2 linked regions of the Rhinolophus ferrumequinum genome follow. The protein of the gene in region 1 purifies or fractionates together with the protein of each later gene. This does not show direct contact. Links are inferred from orthologs where the notes say so. Each region holds a gene or a part of one and is shown in the gene's direction. Other genes may lie near its edges.

What was found.
Region 2: the proteins of SEH1L (region 1) and NUP160 fractionate together in Homo sapiens (co-fractionation; 3 studies listed by BioGRID and IntAct, with this or other methods). This does not show direct contact. The link is inferred for Rhinolophus ferrumequinum from reciprocal best matches to the Homo sapiens genes SEH1L and NUP160.

What each region holds. Positions count from the first base shown.
Region 1 is NC_046302.1:5,253,553-5,264,328, reverse strand, and holds the start of SEH1L (nucleoporin SEH1), read left to right. Parts: upstream 1-5,978; 5' UTR 5,979-6,108; coding exon 6,109-6,219; intron 6,220-10,776. UniProt on the Homo sapiens protein: Component of the Nup107-160 subcomplex of the nuclear pore complex (NPC). The Nup107-160 subcomplex is required for the assembly of a functional NPC.
Region 2 is NC_046294.1:13,504,074-13,514,075, forward strand, and holds the start of NUP160 (nuclear pore complex protein Nup160), read left to right. Parts: upstream 1-5,629; 5' UTR 5,630-5,863; coding exon 5,864-5,963; intron 5,964-6,233; coding exon 6,234-6,345; intron 6,346-10,002. UniProt on the Homo sapiens protein: Functions as a component of the nuclear pore complex (NPC). Involved in poly(A)+ RNA transport.

The sequences.
Region 1 (10,776 bases):
ATGATATATCACCTCACCCCAGTCAGAATGGCTATCATCAACAAGACAAATAGTAACAAGTGTTGGAGAGGCTGTGGAGAAAAAGGAACCCTCATACACTGTTGGTGGGAATGCAGACTGGTGCAGCCCTTATGGAAGGCAGTGTGGAGGTTCCTCAACAAAATTAAGAATAGAATTACCATATGACCCACCAATCTCTCTCCTGGGTATCTACCCAAAAAATCCAAAAACATTTATCCATAAAGACACGTGTGCTCCAATGTTCATTGCAGCTTTGTTTTCGGTGGCCAAGACATGGAAATAACCAAAATGTCCTTCGATAGACGAATGGATAAAGAAGTTGCAGTATACATACACAATGGAATACTATTCGGCGATAAGAAAAGATGAAATAGGAGCATTTGTGACAACATGGATTAATGAGATTATAATGCTAAGCAAAATAAGTCAGACAAAGTAGAGAACCATATGATTTCACTGCAATGTGGTATATGAACCAAAACCAACAAAGAACAAGACAAAGAAACAAAAACTCATAGACACGGACAATAGTTTAGTGGTTACCAGAGGTTAAGGGGGGCTGGGGGTGGTAGATGAGGGTAAAGGGGATCAAATACATGGTGATGGAAGGAGAACTGACTCTGGGTGGTGAATACACAATGGGATTTATAGATGATGTAATACAGAATTGTATACCTGAAATCTATGTAACTTTACTAACAAGTGTCACCCCAATAAAGTTTGATTTTCTTAAAAAAGAAAGATAAACAAATGGGACTACATCAAATTAAAAAGATTTTCACTGCAAAGGAAACCATCAGAAAACAAAGAGACATCCTACTTAATGGAAGAAGATATTTGCCAATGATACATCTGATAAGCGTTTAGTACCCCAAATTTATAAAAACTCATACAATTCAACATAGAAAAATATCAAACAATCCAAATGAAAAATGGGCAGAGTACCAGAATAGGTATTTCTCCACAAGGGACATACAGATGGCCATTAGACACATGGAAAAATGCTCAATGTCACTAATCATCAGATAAAATATGCAAATAAAAACCACAAGGAGATACCATCTCACTCCTGTCAGAATGGCTATCGTCAATAAATCAACAAAACTACAAGTGTTGGAGAGGATGTGGAGAAAAGGGAAGCCTCGTGCATTGTTGGTGGGATTGCAGATTGGTGCAGCCACTATGGAAAATGTTATAGAGGTTCCTCAAAAAATTAAACATAGAACTACCTTATGACCCAGAAATTCCACTCCTGGGTATTTATCCAAAGAAATTCGAAATACAAATTTGAAAAAATATATGCACCCCTATGTTTATTGCAGAGCTATTCACAATAGCCAAGATATGGAAACAACTGAAATGCCCATCAATAGATAGTTGGATAATGAAATTGTGGTACATTTTCACAATGGAGTATTACTCTGCTCTAAAAATACATGAAATCTTACCATTTGCAACAACATGGATAGACCTAGAGGATATTATGCTAAGTGAAATAAGTCAGACTGAGAAAGACAAATACCATATGATCTCACTTAAATGTGGAATCTACACTTGATCTTAGCCAAAAGGCCAAGAAGCAATTATATATGTGGAATCTAAAGAACAGAATAAAAGAACAAACAAAACAGAAATGAACTCATAGCTACAAAGAACAAACTGATGGTTGGTAGATGGGAGGGGGGTTGGGGGTTGGGTGAAGGAGTTAGGAAGTACAAATTGGTAGTCCCAAAATAGTCACAGGTATGTGAAATGTAGTATGGGGAATATAGTCAATAATGTTGTGAAAATGATGCCTGGTGTCACATGGGTACTAGACTTATCAGGGGAGATCACTTCTTAAAGTATATAAATGCCTAACGACTGTGCTGTATACCTGAAACTAATATAAAATAATATTGAATGTCAATTATAATTTAAAAATATATATATATATATATGGTCACTGGGTGTAAAGTACAGCACAGGGAATATAGTCAATGGTATTGTAATAGCTACGTACAGTGTCAGATGGGTAAGTAGACTTGATGGGGTGTGTAAATGTCTAATCAGTATATTGTTCTGTACACTTGAAACTAATAAAAACATAAATAAAATTTTAAAAATATGTTCAAGAAAATGAGGAGACATCCCAGAGAAGAAAAGCTAAACAGTGTTACAAGAAATGTTACAGGGACTTCTTTAAGTAGAAGAAGGGGGAAAAAGATAAATAATATGAATAATAAAATGTCAATAACTACATATCTATCAACAATTACTTTACATGTAAATGGATTAAATGCTCCAATCAAAAGATATAGTATGGCTGAATGGATAAGAAAATAAGACCCTTACATATGTACTCTACAAGAGACTCACTTCAGATTGAAAGACAAACATAGACTGAAAGTAAAGAATGGAAAAAGATGTTTCATGAAAGCAGAAATGAAAAACAAAAAACAAAAAAAGCTGGGGTAACAATACTTATACCAGACAAAATACACTTTAAAATAAAGGCTATAACAAGATACAAAGAAAGACCCAGTAATTTCACTTCTGGATACTTATCTAAAAAAACTCAGAACAGTAATTTGAAAAGACATATGCATATGCATCCATATGTTCATCGCAGCATTATTTACAATAGCCAAGATATGGAAGCAAAGTGTCCATCAATAGATGAATGGATAAAGAAGTGGTACATATATATATAATGGAATATTACTCAGCCATAAAAAGAATGAAATCTTGCTATCTGCAACAACATAGATGGACCTAGAGGGTATTATGCGAAGTGAAATAAGTCAGGCAGAGAAAGACAAATGCAATATGATTTCTCTTATACGTGGAATCTAAAGAAGAAAAGAAATGAACAAAGAAATCAGAAACAAACTCACAGATACAGAGAACATTTTGAGGGTTGCCAGATGGGAGGGAGGTTGGGGGGATGGGTGAAAAAGGGGAAGGTATTAAGAAGTACAAATTGGTAGTTACAAAATAGGCATGGGGATGTAAAGTATAGCATAGGGAATATAGTCAATAATATTGTAATAAGTATAGTATCAGATGGGTACCAGATTTACTGGGGTGATCACTTCGTTAAGTTATATAAATGTCTAATCACTATGTTGTACACCTGAAACTAATATATTGTATGTCAACTGTAATTGAAAAATAAAAAAATTATTTTAAAAAAAGAGAATGAGGACACAGGTCATAAACTTGGAGAAAATATTTCCAAAAGACAAATATGATAAAGGACTATTATCCAAAATATACAAAGAATTCTTAACATTCAACAACAAGAAAACAACCTAATTAAAAAATGGGCAAAAGACCTGAACAGACACCTCACCAAAGAAGACATACAGATGGCAATAAACGTATGAAAAGGTGCCCCACATCATGTCATCAAGGGAATGCAGATTAACATAATAACGAGATACCACTACACACCTATTAGAATGGCTAAAATCCAGAACACTGACAACCATCACCAAGTGATGGTGAAAATGTGGAGCAATAGGATGCATCAGCAATTCACTGATGGCAGGACTGCAAAATGGTACGGCTACTTCAGGAGACAGTTTGGTGGTTTCTCACAAAACTAAACCTATTCTTACCAGATGATGCAGCAATCCCAAAGGAACTGAAAATTTATGTCCACACGAAGACCTGCACACAGATGCTTATAGTAGTTTTATTTAGAATTGCCAAAAGTTGGAAGCAACTAAGATGTCCTTCAATAGGTGAATGAATAAATAAACTGTGATCCATCCAGATAATGAAATGTCTTTTAGTGCTAAAGAGAAATGAGCTATCAAGCCATGGAAAGACATGGAGGAAACTTAAATAAATATTAGTAAGTGAAAAAAGCTGATCTGAAAAGGCTGCATACTGTATGATTCCAACTATATGACATTCTGGAAAAGGCAAAGCTATGGCGACAGTGGAAAAATCAGTGGTTTTCAGGGGTTGGGTGAAGGGTGGGATGAATAGGTGGAACCCAGAGGATTTTTAAAGCAGTGAAAGTATTTTGTATGATACTACAATGGTGGATACACATCACTACACATTTGTCCAAACCCATAGAATGTCCACCACCAAGGTAAACTATGGACTTTGGGTGATTATGTGTCAACGTAGGTTCATCATTTGTAAGAAACATAACAGTGCGTTTTTAGGTATTGCTAGTAGTAGAGGCCAGTTGGTAGGAATTTTGTAGGAATTGAGGAGGAAGAAACTTTCCTCTGCTCTCACAGTTCTTTCGGTTCGTCTAATAAATAGACATGAGACCTATAACAAGAGAAAATAACCAAAGTTAATTACTTACATACTATATATGGGAACCCCTCATACAGGAGAGTCAGAAACGCCCTACATACATGAGAGGTTGAAAAACAGCAGAAAAAATAAGCTGTATATGACATTCTGGGCTAAGGATGAGGTAAGGCACCTTGGGACTTTAGAAGGTAATTGCAGGGAGAGCACATGTTCAGTAATCAGTAGTTTGCCCTGCCATATAGGTTTTCTTTGATCTCTTATTATGACCAAGACCCCTAATTCAAATTCCTCTAAATAAAGGGGAGGGGCAGAAGTGTCCCTTGAGCCCCTTATGTCTCTTTTGCCTTTAGCTCAAAATAATCTGCATATCGTGGAAGCACATCTTCGTGGAAGCATACCTACAGAGGGTAGGTACGTATATGTGAACACATGTATTTTCTGCTCAATTTTGCTGTGAATCTAAAACTATTATAAAACATAAAGTCTATTTTTAAAAATTCCCTTTGCTTCATCTATTTAATCCCCCACCCAGATATCTCTGGTAACCTTTGATTCGTTTACTGTCTCTAAATTTAACTTTAAAAAATATTTAAATTAAAAAATTTTAAAAAGTTTTGGAGCTTTTATAAATTGATTGGACTTTTATAGACAGTGAGTACTTTCTTTAGAAATTAGTCTTTGATCTTACAGCAATTACAATGATTAGTTATCATACCTGCAACTCACAGATTTGAGGTCTGTCTTTTAAAGTACCAATAAAATCTTATCATTCATATTCAGTGGAAAAAAGGCAAGTAAAGAAAATTCCAGAAAGGCGAGGTCATTTCGCCACCTCCCTTTGCTGGTTTCTATGTAATCCATCAGGGGACAGCTGGGACTGTTTTGAAAACTTTCTAGTTTGCTAATCTCACCATGCCCCCACTTTCTTGTCATTCTTGGTTAAAATTAAAATACTACGAACCTCCTTTGGCAGGCTCATTTTCAATTATTATTTTTTCTTTACTTGCATTCCCTCACCCAATCTTCCACTGTTTCCTATTCTAAGTGACTCTACCACTAAGCCTTCTGGAATGTCTGATAAACAAAATCCTCTAAATTGTTAACCTCTCTGCAGAATATTCCTCCACTTACTGGGTTTGGCAGAATCCTTGATTTGCGGACTTCTTCACTGGTCTCCTTCACAGTGTTCTCCCCCCCCCCCCCCCCTCCCCGTCTCGCCGCCCGTTTGACTTATTCCTTCATTGAGAACTCTGGCTCAACATTCTTCCAGTTCATTTCGGATCCTGTCCTTCTCCTAGGTGATTTAAGTTGCTACTTGGAGAACTTTGTAATTCCTAGTATCTCATTGCATTCATTCATCCTGGTTCCTGTCTGTTCTACCTCCAAGCCTTTTCTACATGTGAAACCTTTAAACATTTTGACTCACTCTGAGCACTCTGCCCGTATAGCAGGGGAAACTAATCGAAACGTTGACCAAAATTGACTCAAGATTGAGGACTGTGGATAGCATTTTAACTTTTTCATTTTTCTTAATTTTTATACTTTAACAATGAGTTCTTTTTACTTTCATTAAAGCACCGCAAAGCTCATCTGCTTGAATTTGGCGGCTGTCCACTGAAGGTTTCCTTTAGGAGGATCAGGCGTAGCCCTTGCGGCCTCGCGGGGCATGACGGGACGAGGGGCGGGCCGGGGGGCGCGCAGGCCGTACGAGACGTGCACGTCCCGGCGTCGGGGTCTGGGGGGACTGCGATTCATGCTCTGCCGCGGCCGCCCTCTTCAGACGCCGGAGGGGCAGACGGAAGAGGTGCGTGCCCGGCGGAAGCCATGTTTGTGGCACGCAGCATCGCAGCGGACCATAAGGATCTCATCCATGATGTCTCCTTCGATTTCCATGGGCGGCGGATGGCGACCTGCTCCAGCGACCAGAGCGTCAAGGTGCGCGCGGAACCTTGGGGCGAGGCTGAGCCGGGAAAGAGGGGATTGGGAGCGTGAGCGAAGGGACCCGCGCGTGGAAAGGGGACTTTCCCGATATTGATGCGCGCTGCCGGGCACAAGACCTGGAGCCCCAGGGAGGCGGCAAACCTCGGCCAAGTGGCCTGCTTCGCCATCCTCGTCCCCTCACTGTGGGGTCTCAGCCGCCTCGGGGCCGTGCTGCCCTGCGCGTGCGTAGAACGGGCGGGTTGGGCGGGCCTGTTGGTCACGTGCGCGCTCCCGCCGCCGGGGGACGCTGGGAGCCCTCCGAGTTCCTGCGTACGCCGTATCGGGTCCTTTTCGGCGGGAGTCCGCGAGCTACCTCAGCCTAGTCCCCAGTAGGGGTTGCTTTGTCCGCGGAGTTCTGGCAATATCTGTAATGAGTTAACCACTCTTGTTCAGTGAGAAGGACTGTGCCTTGGGTCTTGTAGGACAGTCAGTTCGTAGTGTTAAGCTCTGTGTGCCTCGTCCTTCACCTGGAGAGGTTATTTATTCTCTGTCTTCCGATAGGAGGTTTACGTTGTTTCGCGATGAAAGAAAATTACAGATTCATTTACACCCAATGAAGTTCCTCACTCGAGGAATTGGAGGGTGTGTTTCTTAGTTTATTTACACGTCTGTATACTGCTCTGAAAATAACAATTTCTATTATACTAAGAAGATACTATTTGGGATTTAGGAATTTAAGAGATAAAGGGTAAACGATAATAGACTTGAAGATGAAAGCTGGAGTGTGGAGTATTTGAATTTTCAACAACTCCAAAATAACTGAAAAGTTGAAAGACTATATTTACTTCTCGTTTTTAACCATCAAGTTTGATACCATTGATTCCTCAAAGATAGTTATAACTAATTTTCCTCTCTAAAAAAGAGTAGTGCCTCAAATCCATCGAATAATGCAGTGTTTTTAACCTGTAAAAGGTTTGGAATCACTACTTTTTAAAGTTTTTTTTTTTTATTGTGGTAAACTAACAATTTGAAAGTGTACATTACAGTTCAGTTCTGTTAAGCACAACATTCACATTGTTGTGCCACCATAACCACTGTACATCTCAGGAACTTTTTCTTCATCTAAACAGAAACTCTGTACCTAGTAACTCCCTCTTCCCTTGTACCCCAAACCCCTGGTTACCTCCAACTCTCTTTATAAATTTGACTATTCAGGGTACCTCATAAATGGAATCATACAGTATTTGTCCTTTTGTGTCTTGTTTATTTCACTTACTGTGATATTTTCAGTGCTCATTTATGTTTGTACAGTGTATCAGAATTTCATTTTTAGGGTTGAATAATTTTGTTGCACCACATTTTGTTTATCCTTCTACCTTTTGACTGTTGTGGATATTGTATTGTCTGTTAACTGAATAGTCCATACTTTTTTTGTTGTCCACTTACTACTGAATTTTTTAGATGATCTTTCAGTTTGTACGTTTTGTCTGTTAGAGTACTGTTGCAATGAAGATCTTCATTAATTTAGCTTTTTATATATTTTGGATGATTTTCTTAGGCTCATTCCAGTAGAGAAATTAGTGAATATTTTAAAAGCTTTTGAGAATAATTGATAAATTGCCTTTTTGAAGGTTGTTCTATACACTGCCAGTGTGAGTATTGATTTGATAACATCATTTTCCATGTTGGGCATTATTACAATTTTTCTTTAAAAATTTTTTATGTGGCAAAATACATGTAACAAAATTTACCATCTTTACCATTTTTAAGTCTACAGTTAAGTGGTATTAGGTACATTCTGCAACCATCACCACCATCTACAAAACTTTTTCATTTTGCGAAATGAAACTGTATCCATTCAACAATAACTCCCCATTCCCCCTACCCTCCATTCTGCTTTCTATTTCTATGAATTTGACTATTCTAGATACCTCATGTAAGTGGAATCATACATTTGTCTTTTTTTTAAACTGGTTTATTTAACTTAGCATGTCTTTGAAGTTTGTACATGTAGCATATGTCAGAATTTCCTTTTTAAGCTAAATAGTTCCTTACATGTATTGTATATACCACTTTTTACTCATCATCTTTCCGTGGACTTGGGTTGCTTCTACGTTTTAGCTATTGTGAACAATGCTGTTATGAATGTGGATGTACAAATAACTCTTTGAGACCTTTTGTTTTTTTAAAATTTATTGGGGTAGCAGTTAATAACATATGTTTCGGGTGTACAATTCTATAATACATGATCTGTATATTGCATTGTTGTGCTCACCACCCAAAGTCTAGTTTCCTTCGGTTACCATGTAATTGGCCCTCTTTATCCTCCCCACCATCTCCTTCCCGCTGGTAATCACTGTACTGTTGTTTGTGTCTATGAGTTTCTTTGTTGCTTTCTGTTTTATATCCCACATATGAGTGAAATCCTATGGTTCTTGTCTTTTTCTGACTTAATTCACTTAGCATGATACTGAAGATCCATCCATGTTAGCAGAAATGGTAGTATTTTATTTTTTATGGCTGAGTAGTATTCCATCGTATATGTGTACCACATCATCTTTATCCAGTCATTGATCGAAGAACACTTAGATTGTTTCCATGTCTTGGTTGTTGTGAATAATGCTGCAGTGAACGTAGGGCTACATATATCTTTACAGATATGTACATCTTTACAAATACATGTTTTCAAATTTTTCGGGTGGATGCCCAGAAGAGGTATTGCTGGGTCATGTAAGGTAGTTCTATTCTTAATTTTTTACTGTTTTCTATCGAGGTTGCAGCAATTTACATTCCTGCCAGCTGTGTGCTAGGGTTATCTTTTCTCCACGTCCTCTCCAATACTTATTTCTTGTTTTATTGATAGTAGCCATTCTAACAGATGTGAGGTGGTATCTCATTGTGGTTTTGATTTGCATTTCCCTTTTAGCTAATGAATTTGAGCATCTTTTCATATGTCTGCTGGCCGTTTGTATGTCTTTTTGGCAAAAGTGTCCGTTCAGGTCCTCTGCCCATTTTTTTATTGTAGTATTTGTTCTTTTTTGTTTTTGAGTTGTATGAGTTATTTATATATTTTGGATATTAGCTCCTTATCAGAGGTATCGTTTGCAAATATCTTCACCCCTTCAGTTGGTTGTCTTTTTGTTTTATTGATGGTTTCTTTTCCTGTGCAGAAACTTTTTAGTTTGATGTAGTCCCATTGATTTATTTTTTGTTTTTACTTCCCTTGCCTTTGGGTCAAGTTCACAAAAAACCCTCTGAGACCAAGGTCCATAAGTTTAGTATCTATGTTTTCTTCTATGCATTTTATTTCAGTTCTTATATTCAAGTCTTTTACTTCATTTTGAGTTAATTTTTATGTATAGTGTCAACTCTCTAGTTACATCCTTGTGCATGTGGCTTTCCAATTTTCCCGACGTTCATTGAAGACATTTTCCTTTTCCCATTGTATAGTTTGGATCCCTTGTTGAAAATTAATTGCCAGTATGTGTGCAGGTTTATTTCTGGGCTCATTTTTGTTCTGTTGATCTGTGTGTTTATTTTTCTGCCAACACCATACTGTTTTGATTATTGTAGCATTGTAGTATAATTTGAAGTCAGGCAGTGTGATACTGCTGGCTTTGTTCTTTTTTCTCAGGATTGCTTTGGCTATTCAGGATCTTTCATGAAAGACCTGTTTGTGTGTTGAGCAGCGGATCCTTCGTTTAACTATATTTGTCTGACTTACAATTTTAAGGTGAGATACCAAGAGTTCTCCATGATGGAGTTCTCCATCTGCCATGATGCTGATGTCACTATGAGACCCTGCATTTAACTCTTTTGAGTATAAACCCAGAAGTAGAATTGCTGGATCATATGGTAATTCTGTTCTTAGTGTTTTGAAAACCATACTGTTTATCATTACATTTTGTAAACAGGCTACAATGTCATGTTGTTATTGTAATCTGTATTTTTTTTGTTGGTAGTAAGGTTTAATATTTTGCTTTTGTTTGTTACATATATAAGTGATCCTCATTATGTGCAGATTTTGTATTTCTGAATTTTCTTACTCTAAAATTTATTTATAACCTGGAAATCTTCACAGTTATCTGCTGACATGAGGAGAGTGGTAAAAAATTGGAGTTGCTTAATGTGCACGTTCCCAGTTGAAGTCGAATAGGGTGATACTCTGCCTTCTTATTTTTGGCTATCATACTAGAAACAAGTGTCCTCATTGTCTATTGCCACGTTTTTCACATTTTTGTTCTTTTTGTTGGTGATTTCACTATCTAAAATGATGCCTAAGTGTAGTGCTGAAGAACTGTTTAGTGTTCCTAAGCACAAAAAGGCTGTGATGTGCTCTAGGGAAAAATGTGTATTAGGGAAGATTCATTTAGGCATGAGTTATAGTGCTGTTGGCTGTGAGTTCAATGTTAATGAATCAGTAATGTTTACTAAATAAAGTGTCTTAAAACAGATACACACAGAAAACAAGGTGACGTATTGATTGGTTGACAAATATGTTGTGACCAGAGGCTCCTATGATTCTCACCTGGTATTTCCCTTTGGAGCAGTGGTTTGGTATTCACTAATTCA
Region 2 (10,002 bases), on another chromosome or scaffold:
AACCACTAGATGGCAATGTGATTCCATTTATGTTAAAACCATACCAACCAGCGTATTCATAGTTCAAACGGTATTTGAGTTTTCTTAAGAATGCATATGTGCACTTATTTGTTCCTTCAGTCATTCCTTCAAACACTTACTAGGAACTTTTAACTTCTGAGTATTCTGATGGATGTTGAAGACAAGATAAGGAATGACAGAGCTCACTGTCAAAAATTACAATTTTTGGATTCCTAGGAAACTGTAAGATGTCCCATCAATTTTACACGTTTTTAAAAATAAAAGCAAAGAGGGGCGACCGGATGGCTCAGTTGGTTAGAGCGCGAGCTCTCAACAACAAGGTTGCCGGTTCAATTCCCGCATGGGATGGTGGGCTGCGCCCCCTGCAACTAAAGATTGAAAATGGCGACTGGACTTGGAGCTGAGCTGCACCTCCACAACTAGATTGAAGGGCAACGACTAGGAGCTGATGGGCCCTGGAGGAACACACTGTTCCCCAAAAAAATTTGTAAAAATTAATTTAAAAAATTTTTTAAATTAAAGAAAAAGAAGTATGACTAAATATTCACATTGATTGCATCACTCAGGGAAGACATGCCTGTCCTTGTCCTGGGGAGCGTCTGGAGTAGGCTCAGATCAGAGCCTGGAAATGAGGGAGAGGTGAAGGCGAAGATCCAGACTGTCTCTGGGTTTTAGGCCACAGACCAGCCTAGAGCTTTAGTGCCAGAAGAGAGCTTGAAGATTGGTATGTACAGCACCCTCTTCTGAGAAACTGAGGCACAGAGATGTTGGGTGGCTTGCCAAGTGACAAGAGATTAGTTGAGACAGGGCTAGAACTGGAATCCAAGTCTTCCAATGCACTGCTGATGTTCTTCCCAATATTTTATTATCACTTTGGGAATTTAGAATAGATCCTACTCTAAACTCCTTTCCTTTCCAAATTCTTTATCCCTGTTGGTTCCCATCCTTAGACAAGATGTCGTGTGTGTCTATGTGGGGTACGTGTGTGTGTATGTGTGTGTGTGTTGTTGGATTCCACGGGAAACAGACTCTGAGGCATAGATTTGCACAGGAGGCTTACAGGAGGTGTATTGGAGACTGCGCTCAGGAACAGCACCTCAAAGGAACTAAGGGAAGCAGGACTGGGCAGAAAGAGACGTTGAGGCATCAGCCGATCCTACATAGCACTCTGGAGCAGAGATGGTCCTTCAGAGTTCTCCTAGATCAAGGCTAGGTGGCAGGCCCTTTGGACTTTCCACACTGAAACCTCACTGGATGCAGGGGCTATAACCATAGGCAAGGTAGCTCTCTTCAGTTAAGAGCAAAAATCAGGGTCCCTCCCACTCCTTTCTGGAGACTCCAGGGGAGAATCGTTCCTGTGCATTTTCCAGCTTCTAGAGGCTGACCATGTTCCTTGCTTATAGCCTCCTTCTTCATCTTAAATGCCAGCAATGTCACATATCTTTGACCTTTCTTCTGTCCTCACATCTTTCTGACCTCAGCAGGGAAAGGTCTCTCCTTTGAGGGACTATGAGTAGTTAGGGCCCACCTGCGTGATCCAGGCTTCTTTCTCCATCTCTACATCCTTAACCTTACATGTACAAAGTCCCTTTTACCATGGAAGTAACATTCACAGGTTCCAGGGATCAGGAGGTAGACATCTTTGTGGGGCCATTATTCTGCCTACCATAATCTGAATTAAATATTTTTGGCAAGAATACTTCATATGTTCTTAGCAGCATTTTCACAGTAGCCAGAAAGAGGAAACAACCCAAATGTCTGGCAACTGATGAATGGATACAGTGTTGTATATCCATACAATAGACTATTGTTCAGCCATAAAATGGAATGAAGTACTGATTCATGCTACACCATAGATGAACCTTGAAAACATTACGCTAAGTGAAAGAAGCTGGACACAAATGGACACATATGTATGATTCCATTTATATGAAATGTCCAGAATAGGCAAACATAAAGTAGATTAATGGTTTCCAGGGGCTGAGGAGGGGGAAATGAGCAGTGGCCACTAATGGGTATGGGATTTCTTTTTGAACTGATAAAAATGTCCCAAAATTAATTGCGGTGATGTTACACAACTATGTGAATAAGCAAAACTCATTAAATTGTACACTTTAAAGAGGCAAATTTTATGGCATGTGAATAATATCTTAACAACGTTGTTTAAAAATGCCTTACAGATGATGCTGTATTCTTCACTTTGTATCACACCAGGAGGCATTTATATCTGGTTGTCCTTAGTAATGAGAAATGCTAAGGTTGAACTCTGGGTTAAGGTGGTGGCAACTGATGGAAACTGTATTTTTAACAAGTGCTTCAGAAAAGTTATCTACCTTACAAGAATACTACTACCTTGTAAGGATGTTATGAGGATGAAATTAAAATGTGACATACTTAGTAAATTTTAAATATGGTAGGTAGAAAAAGTCCCCACCCCAAGGAAGATGTTCACATCCTGATCCCTGGAATCTATAAATGTGTCACCTTACATAGTAAAAGGAACTTTGCAGATGTGATTAAATTTAAGGGTGTAAAGATGGGGAAATTACTTTGTATTATCTGGGTGGAATCTCAGAAGCTTGAAATTCTGACTCAGGAAAAGTTTTAAATGGTAGTTTTGTTAAACAATGAAGTATTTTCATTCAGCAACATTAGAACATTTACCAATATTGATTGTTCCTACAAGGAAATACAACTCAGCTTTCTCCCATTCCGCAGACCTACTCCTCTTCTACCATTCCCACCGAGTTAATGGCACCCAGTTGTCAAGGCAAACAGGAGTCAGCCTGGATGACTAGACCTTCTCTTATTTTCATTCTTCACCAGATCCAACTGATTTTATCTCCTAAATATTCCTTCAAATTTACTCTCATCTTCTCCATGCCACTCAGGACTTCATCAACTTTTGCCTGGACCATTCATTTCTCAAATATTTACTGAATATTTGCCTCTTATGGGCCAGGCATGATTCTTGGAGTGTGGAGTCTAGTAGAGGGGTGGGGGATAAGGATTCAGAAAGCAAGGAGGCAATTTAGGAGGCTATTACAATAATCCAGGTGAGCTGTTGGCAGTTTAGACACAGGGTGATGGATGGCACAGAGAAGGTGAGATGGCACTGATCTAAGGTAAAAGAGAAAGAGGACTCAATGATGACTCCAAGGATTTTGGCTTGAGGCACTGGAAGGATGCCAGTAGGTGAGATGTGGAAATAGTGTTAGGGGAAGAGATCAGGACTGCAGTTTTGGACATATGTGACTTTAATTTTAGACATATTAATGTAGGCAATTGGATATATATATATATATATATATATATCCAAAAAATGTATACACATTTTAAGAAAGGAAAACTGTATTATAATTGTAATACTCAACATGTACCCATAACAAAAGATGAATACAAGTCACGTCTGACTTCTGCAATTACAAGAGGTGCTCAAAGTGGTTACCATCAGCTTAATTTTTATAGTTTTTTTCCTTTCTTAAAAGGAAAAGGTACCCTCTGTATATATGCAGTTGGATATATAAGCTTGGAGTTCAGGCGAAAGATTTGGACTGGAGATATACATTTGGGAACTACATATCCAGCATTTAAAACCAGAAGACTGGGTAAGATCCTCAAGGGAATGTGTATAGACAGGACCAAAAAATGGGCTCTGGGGCACTCCCAACATTAAGAGGTAAGGGAAAAGAGATACAACTAGCAAAGGAGTCTGAAGAAGAGTCAGTAAAATAGGAGGAAATTAAGGGAGTGTGGTGCCCTGGAAGCCATGTGAAGAAAGTGTTTCCAGGAGGAAGGAGCAATCAATTGATCAAATGTTAAAGGTGGTCAATTAAGTTTACAGTATTAGATACAGTAACAAGGATGTCATTGCTGACCTTGACAAAGGCCTAGAGAAGGAAGGTTTAAGAGAGAATAAGAGAAAATTAAATAGAATGACCTTGAATTTTGCAGTCAAGGTGGGGAGGGGCTCCAACCTTGTAGGTAGTAACTTGAGAGCTCAAATGAAGGCTTTTTGTGATGGGAGGAGAAATAACAGAATGTGTGATTGGAGGAACAACGCAATGAAAAGGGGGGAAACTGAAGATGTAGGAGAGACAATTGCTGGAATGATGTCCTCGGGCAAGTGGTCTAAGGAAAAAGTAGAAAGATTGTTCTTCCATAAACTCAGGGACACTTCTATTTATAGTAACAGGAAGGGAAGGCAGAATATGTGGATACAGCGGGCTGGTAGGTAGGGAGAGGTGGTAGTGGGGGAAAACTCTTGATTGCATCATTTTTCTAAGTGCAGAAGCAAGCTGAGAGTGAGGATGGGAGAGGAGGTGTTGCAGGTTAGAGGAGCTGTGAAATATTCATCGAGGACAGTAAGTGGACAAGGGATATACAGTGTTTGTGGGGCAGCAGTATGGGCCCACTCAACATTCTGAGTCATGATGGAGGCAGAGGGAGGTATGTCAGTATGACTGTATTTTCCTGCAGGCCTGTTCAGCTGCAGATTTGGATTTGATCACAGTTGTAGATTTTATCAGAGTATGATGAATTCCCTTGCCCAGAGCTGGGCAAGGGAGTAGTCGTACCTCAGTTTCGAATGTCTCCATTGACAAACATTTCGGTTTACGACCGCTGTAATTTTTTTGATCTATGGTATCATTAGACAGTAAAATTCATGCTGAATTTGCAGTTTTAGGGATTGATTTTAAAGGTCTGGAAAGGATTAATCCATTTTGCATTACTCTCTATGGGGAAACTACACCTCAGTTTTCAAACGTTTCAGAACTTGAAAGGTCCTCCGGAATGGATTACGTTCAAAAACCGAGGTACCACTAATTTAAATAGAATTTAAGCAGAGCAAGAAGGAAACATCAAATGAGTAACAGTGAAATGATGATTGTAGGTGGAATGGAGGGATTGCATTGCTAGAGTTGGTGTTCTAGGAGAGAAGAGAGTGGGCAGAATAGGATGAATGAAACAGAGGACAGATAAGGTTTGCGGTCACTGGTAACACCAAAAAAATAACAGAAGTGCTTAACAAACCGTTAACTATCAAGACAGTAACTTTGCCCCCGCAAAATTAGCATTTTCCTCAATATTGAGCATCTACTTTGCCCTAGATAGGGGTAAAACCACAGTAACCTCCACACATCCAGATCACGGGTGCGAAGAAAAGCAAATTCGTGTATGCCAAGAAATCAGCATTTAGGTAATCTCAGCAGGTTGCAGCATCAATATTTAATTGAACCCATTATGTTTCATCCTACAAAAATACAGGAATACAGTCTCTTGAAAAAATTCCAACGCAAAGCAAAAGGCCCCTCTGCCCTACACTCCCCCTCACCCGATCCCACGTGTCACAGAAGGGTGAAAAAACCGAGACCCGACGGAGATTCACAGACGGACACTCAGATTCACCGAAAGGGGATCGCAAAGTCGGAATCCGGCAGAGGGCGCCATGGCCTCCCGGACATCGTCCTCGGAGGAGGTTCATCCTGCCGCCCGCGCCGTGGTTTTTAAAATGGAACCCAGCCCCGCCCCCCGCCCTGGGGCCGCCGGGAAAAGGGCTCCGCCCCACCCCCACGACCGGAGGCGTCCAGGCCGGCCAAGCGAAGGTTCCCGCAGAGGGAGTCGGCTCCCTCTGCCCCTTTCTCTTCTGTTTTTCTCCCTGCCAACCCTTCTTCTCCAGCCACTCGGAGGAGCCCCGGAAGACACAGTTGAAGCTGCCATTCTTCTCCCCGGCAATCTCCGAGTGTCCTCGCCTCCGCCTGCCCCGCCCCCGGAAGTGACGGCAACCACTCGGTTGTGCTGGTGTCCCGTCGGGCCTCGCGGCGGCGGCGGCGGCGGGAAGATGGCGGCGGCGGGATCCCTGGAACGGAGCTTTATAGAGCTCAGCGGTCCGGAGCGCGAAAGGCCGAGGCGCTTTCGGGAATTTACAGTTTGTGGCGTTGGTACGGAAGCAGCCAAAGAGGGCGCGATCCGATCCTTCCTCTCAGGCTCCTCCCATGAGTCCCTAAATCTCTGATCCCCAGTTTATCCTTTTAAGTCCACATGCCTATAGCCCCGAGATCTGAGCTTCCTTAGTGTCCCATTTCCTCTTTCTCTTCTTCCCCTTCTCTTCGTATGGATTATCAGTCTGTCATCCTCTGCTTTCTCGGCGCCCTCAGTTCCTGTCATCCTCAGAGAACCACGTGTGCAGGCTGACCCCTCTCCTTTTGCAGGGACTTCAAATGCCTTGACCGGAACCGTCAAATACAGTGAGAGCGCTGGAGGCTTCTACTATGTGGAAAGTGGCAAGTTGTTCTCTGTCACCAGAAACAGGTTCATTCACTGGTAAGTGCTGTGTTCGCCAAACCCCGCTGGAAAGTCGAGTTGGTGTCTGAATGTTCGTGGCTGTTTATAAAGGCTGTCCCGCTGTTCTCCGAAGCAGTAATTGACAGGAAGAGAAAGACTGTCTTCTAATTGTATCTGAATCAGGAGATTAAGGAGACCAGAGTTCTAAGAGAGGTTCCCTCCCAGGGCAGCACTAAAAGCAGAGGAAATGTAGCTTAGGGGATAGAGGCCCAAAGATCAGTTTTAAACATCAGTCCATTGTGTTTTTATAGTGTTTCCCCGAAAATAAGACCAGGTCTTAAATTAAGTTTTGCTCCAGAAGACGCATTAGGGCTTATGTTCAGAGGATGTCCTCCTGAAAAATCATGCTAGAGCTTATTGTCCCGTTAGGTCTTATTTTCGGGAAAATACAGTAGTGCTTTACAACTTCATTCTGCAAACGTGTGAGCTTTTACACATCAGGCACTGTGCTAGGTATGCTAGGGATTAAGTGATGAACAAAAACCACCACCATTTTCATCATGCAAGATGTTGTAGCAGTGTTAGCTGTGGACTCACCTTTCGTTGGGCTGTTTAAAGAAGGGAAAAGACATTAATGACACAACATAAGTATAACAATACAAATGTTTCATACCTGCTTCAGAAGAATAGTGTAGAGGCTATGAGAGGCTAAGGGCGGACCACATTTTATTGGTGGAGCTGAGAAGGCCTTTAAGGAGGTCATATTTAACCTGAGATCTGAATGGTTAGCCAGGCAGGGGATTGAGGAAGAGAGCAGTTCGGCAAGTGGGATCAAAATGTGCCAAGTCCATGAGGTGGAAAGAACTTGGCAGGTTTGAGGATCTGACCGAAGGTCTGTGACTTAAGTGCAATGGGCGAAACAAAATAATGTGAGAGATGCTGAGATGGGGAGGGAGGCAGAACTCATTATGAAGGACCCTGAGGTCCTTTTTAAGGATTTTGGATTTTATCCTAAGTACGTTGAACAATTATTGAAGGGTTTTTAATGGTTACTAACATGATCAGAATTGTATTTTTTTAAAAATTGGCTACTTTGTGGAAAGTGGATTTGGGTTAAATATATGTAATACAAAAGAACAATTTGCCTTTATGATGGCCCAAGTAAGAGATACTGGTTGTGAGAATGGCTAGGAAAAGAGAAATGGATGGATTCCACATACATTGAGAAGGTAGATTCACTAGGACTCTGTGATAGATTGAATATGGAGTGGGAGGTGATAAGGGAAAAGGAGGGAGCAAGGATAACTCTTTGGTTTCTAGTGTGACTAACCAGATGTATAGGGCAGAGGGGTGGCCATTTACTGAGATATAGAAGATGGGTTTTGAGAGATTTGAATAATTCTTTTAGACGTACTAAATGTGAAGTATTTGCAGCAGCCCTTTGGCAATATTAAATAAGTGCTGAAATTTAAAGGTCTGCGGCACAGAAGAAAGACCTATGTTAAAGATACACATCTCATTTCCTTCAGAAAGATGTTTGAGTTCTTAATATGTTACAGTCAATGTTTAGAGACTGGGGATGTGGCAGGGAACAAAGCAGACAAAGTCCCTGCTTTCGTGGAGGGAAACAGGCCCTAAACAGTAATAAGGAAAACAAGTAAATGCAGCTTATCAGGTGACGAGTGGAACAGAGACTAGGGAAGCAAGATAAGAGGGAAGGGGAATGCCTGTGGAAGTTAATATTTACATCGGGTAGTCAGGCAAGACCCAGTGATAATGGTGACATTGGAGCAGAGGAGTAAGGATGTTTGAGTGATGAGAATTTCAGGTAGACCCTTCTAAGGAAAAAAAGTGCAAAGAACCCTAAGACAGGAGCTTGTGTGTTGTGTTCAAAGAATGACAAGGGTACACGAGTCTGTAGACGAGTGAACAAAGGGTAGAATAATAAGAAAGGTAGCCAAGGACCAGGTCAGGGCTTTGTCGGTTATTTTAAGGCCGTGACTTTTACTCTTAGTGAGATGGAAAGAAGCCATTTGAGAGTTTTAAGTGAAGGAATGGCATAATCTAAGTTGTGTTTTTAAAGGATTGCTGTGGCTATGGGTTGAGAACAGAGTGTAGTGAGAAAAGGGTGGGAGTAGGGAGACCATTTAAGAAGTTGGTGCCACAATTCAGACGAGATGATGATGGCTTAGACCAGGGTGGCATTGGTAGAAGCAGTGAGAAATGTTCTGGTTGTGGACATGTTTTGAAGGTGGATTTGTTAGAATTTACCATTGGATCAAATATGGGGTATACAGAAAAAGAAGAGTCATGGGCGATCTCCAGATTTCTCTATTGAGAAGTTATAGAGATGCCATTACTGAACTGGAAAAGACTGTGTGTGAAGTAGGTATTTTTGTTTCTGTTTTTCAGGTTTGTTGGGTCCAAGAATTCTATTCTGGACAGGTTTTGATCGAGATCCCTGTTAGATAGCCAAGTGGAAGTGTTGAGGCAGAGGTCAGGAGTTCAGTGGAGACATTGGGCTGAAGATACAGATTTGGGAATTGTTGGCATTGGGTGGCATATAAAGCTGTTATGCTGAATGAAGTCATGTAGAGAATGAGTATAAATCAGGGTTTGGAGGGATTGCACTTGGAGGCAGATAAGTCTTGGTTGTGGGGGCTTCCTGTACGTTGTAATGTGTTGAGCGGCATCCCTGGCGTCTACCCCCTACGTCCCAATAGTGCACACACATGCACGTGTACGCGCACACAGTCGGTTGTGACAAGCAAAAGTCCAGATATTGCTATATGTACTCGGGGAGTGGGGCAGAATGGCCCCCAGTTGAGAACCTGTGTTGATGAGGGAAGAGGCCTGAGCACTGAACCCTGGGGAACTCCAATGTTTAGGCAGAAGAGGAACCAGTAAAGGAGACCGAGAAGAAGTAGCTAGTAAGGTAAGTGTTGAACAAAAAGAGAGTGGTGTCCCAGAAGCTAAGGGAGACATTTCAGGGAGAAGGAGGCTGAAAAACTGCTGAATGCCACGTACAAGCCAGAGAAATGAAAATTGATCTTGCACCGTGGAGATCACTGGTGACCTTGTCAGCAACTGCTCCAGTAGTGGTGCAAAAGCCCAAGGGGAGTGGGTTTGTGCGTGGAGGGGGGATTGTGAGTGTAGAACAACTCTCTCAAGGAGCATTGCTATAAGGCAAACAGCGAAATGGTAGCAGGCAGGCAATGGAGGGTATAGGGGAAATACAGTATGTTTATATGCTGTCAAGGGGAACCAATAGAGGAGAGGAATTGAAGAAACTGAGAAAGTGAGGCATTAGAAAACACATGGATATTGAAATCATTCACAATTATGGCAGGAGATGTGAGAGTGAGCCAGGAGCTAAAATCTTTAAGAAATGAGAGAGATCTGGAGATAACTGCAATGAAGAGGGTGGCAGGTGGTATCTGATTGCATGACCTTCAGAGCTGAGTGGTTTGAGCCAGGAGGGTAGAACAATGGCCTAGAAAGGCAGTGGGAAGCAAGCAGGCTGTCTGTGCCCTACCCTGAGGCCCCAGTACAAGGGGCATGGTAAGATAGCTTCCACCGTTAGAGAGGGGTCTGAGGGATAATGTTCTCTGGGAAGAACTAGAACCCAACTTTAACCATAAGGCAGAAGGTGAAGTGATTGTTCAGAGATGATGATGGTGAAGGTCCAGAAAATTG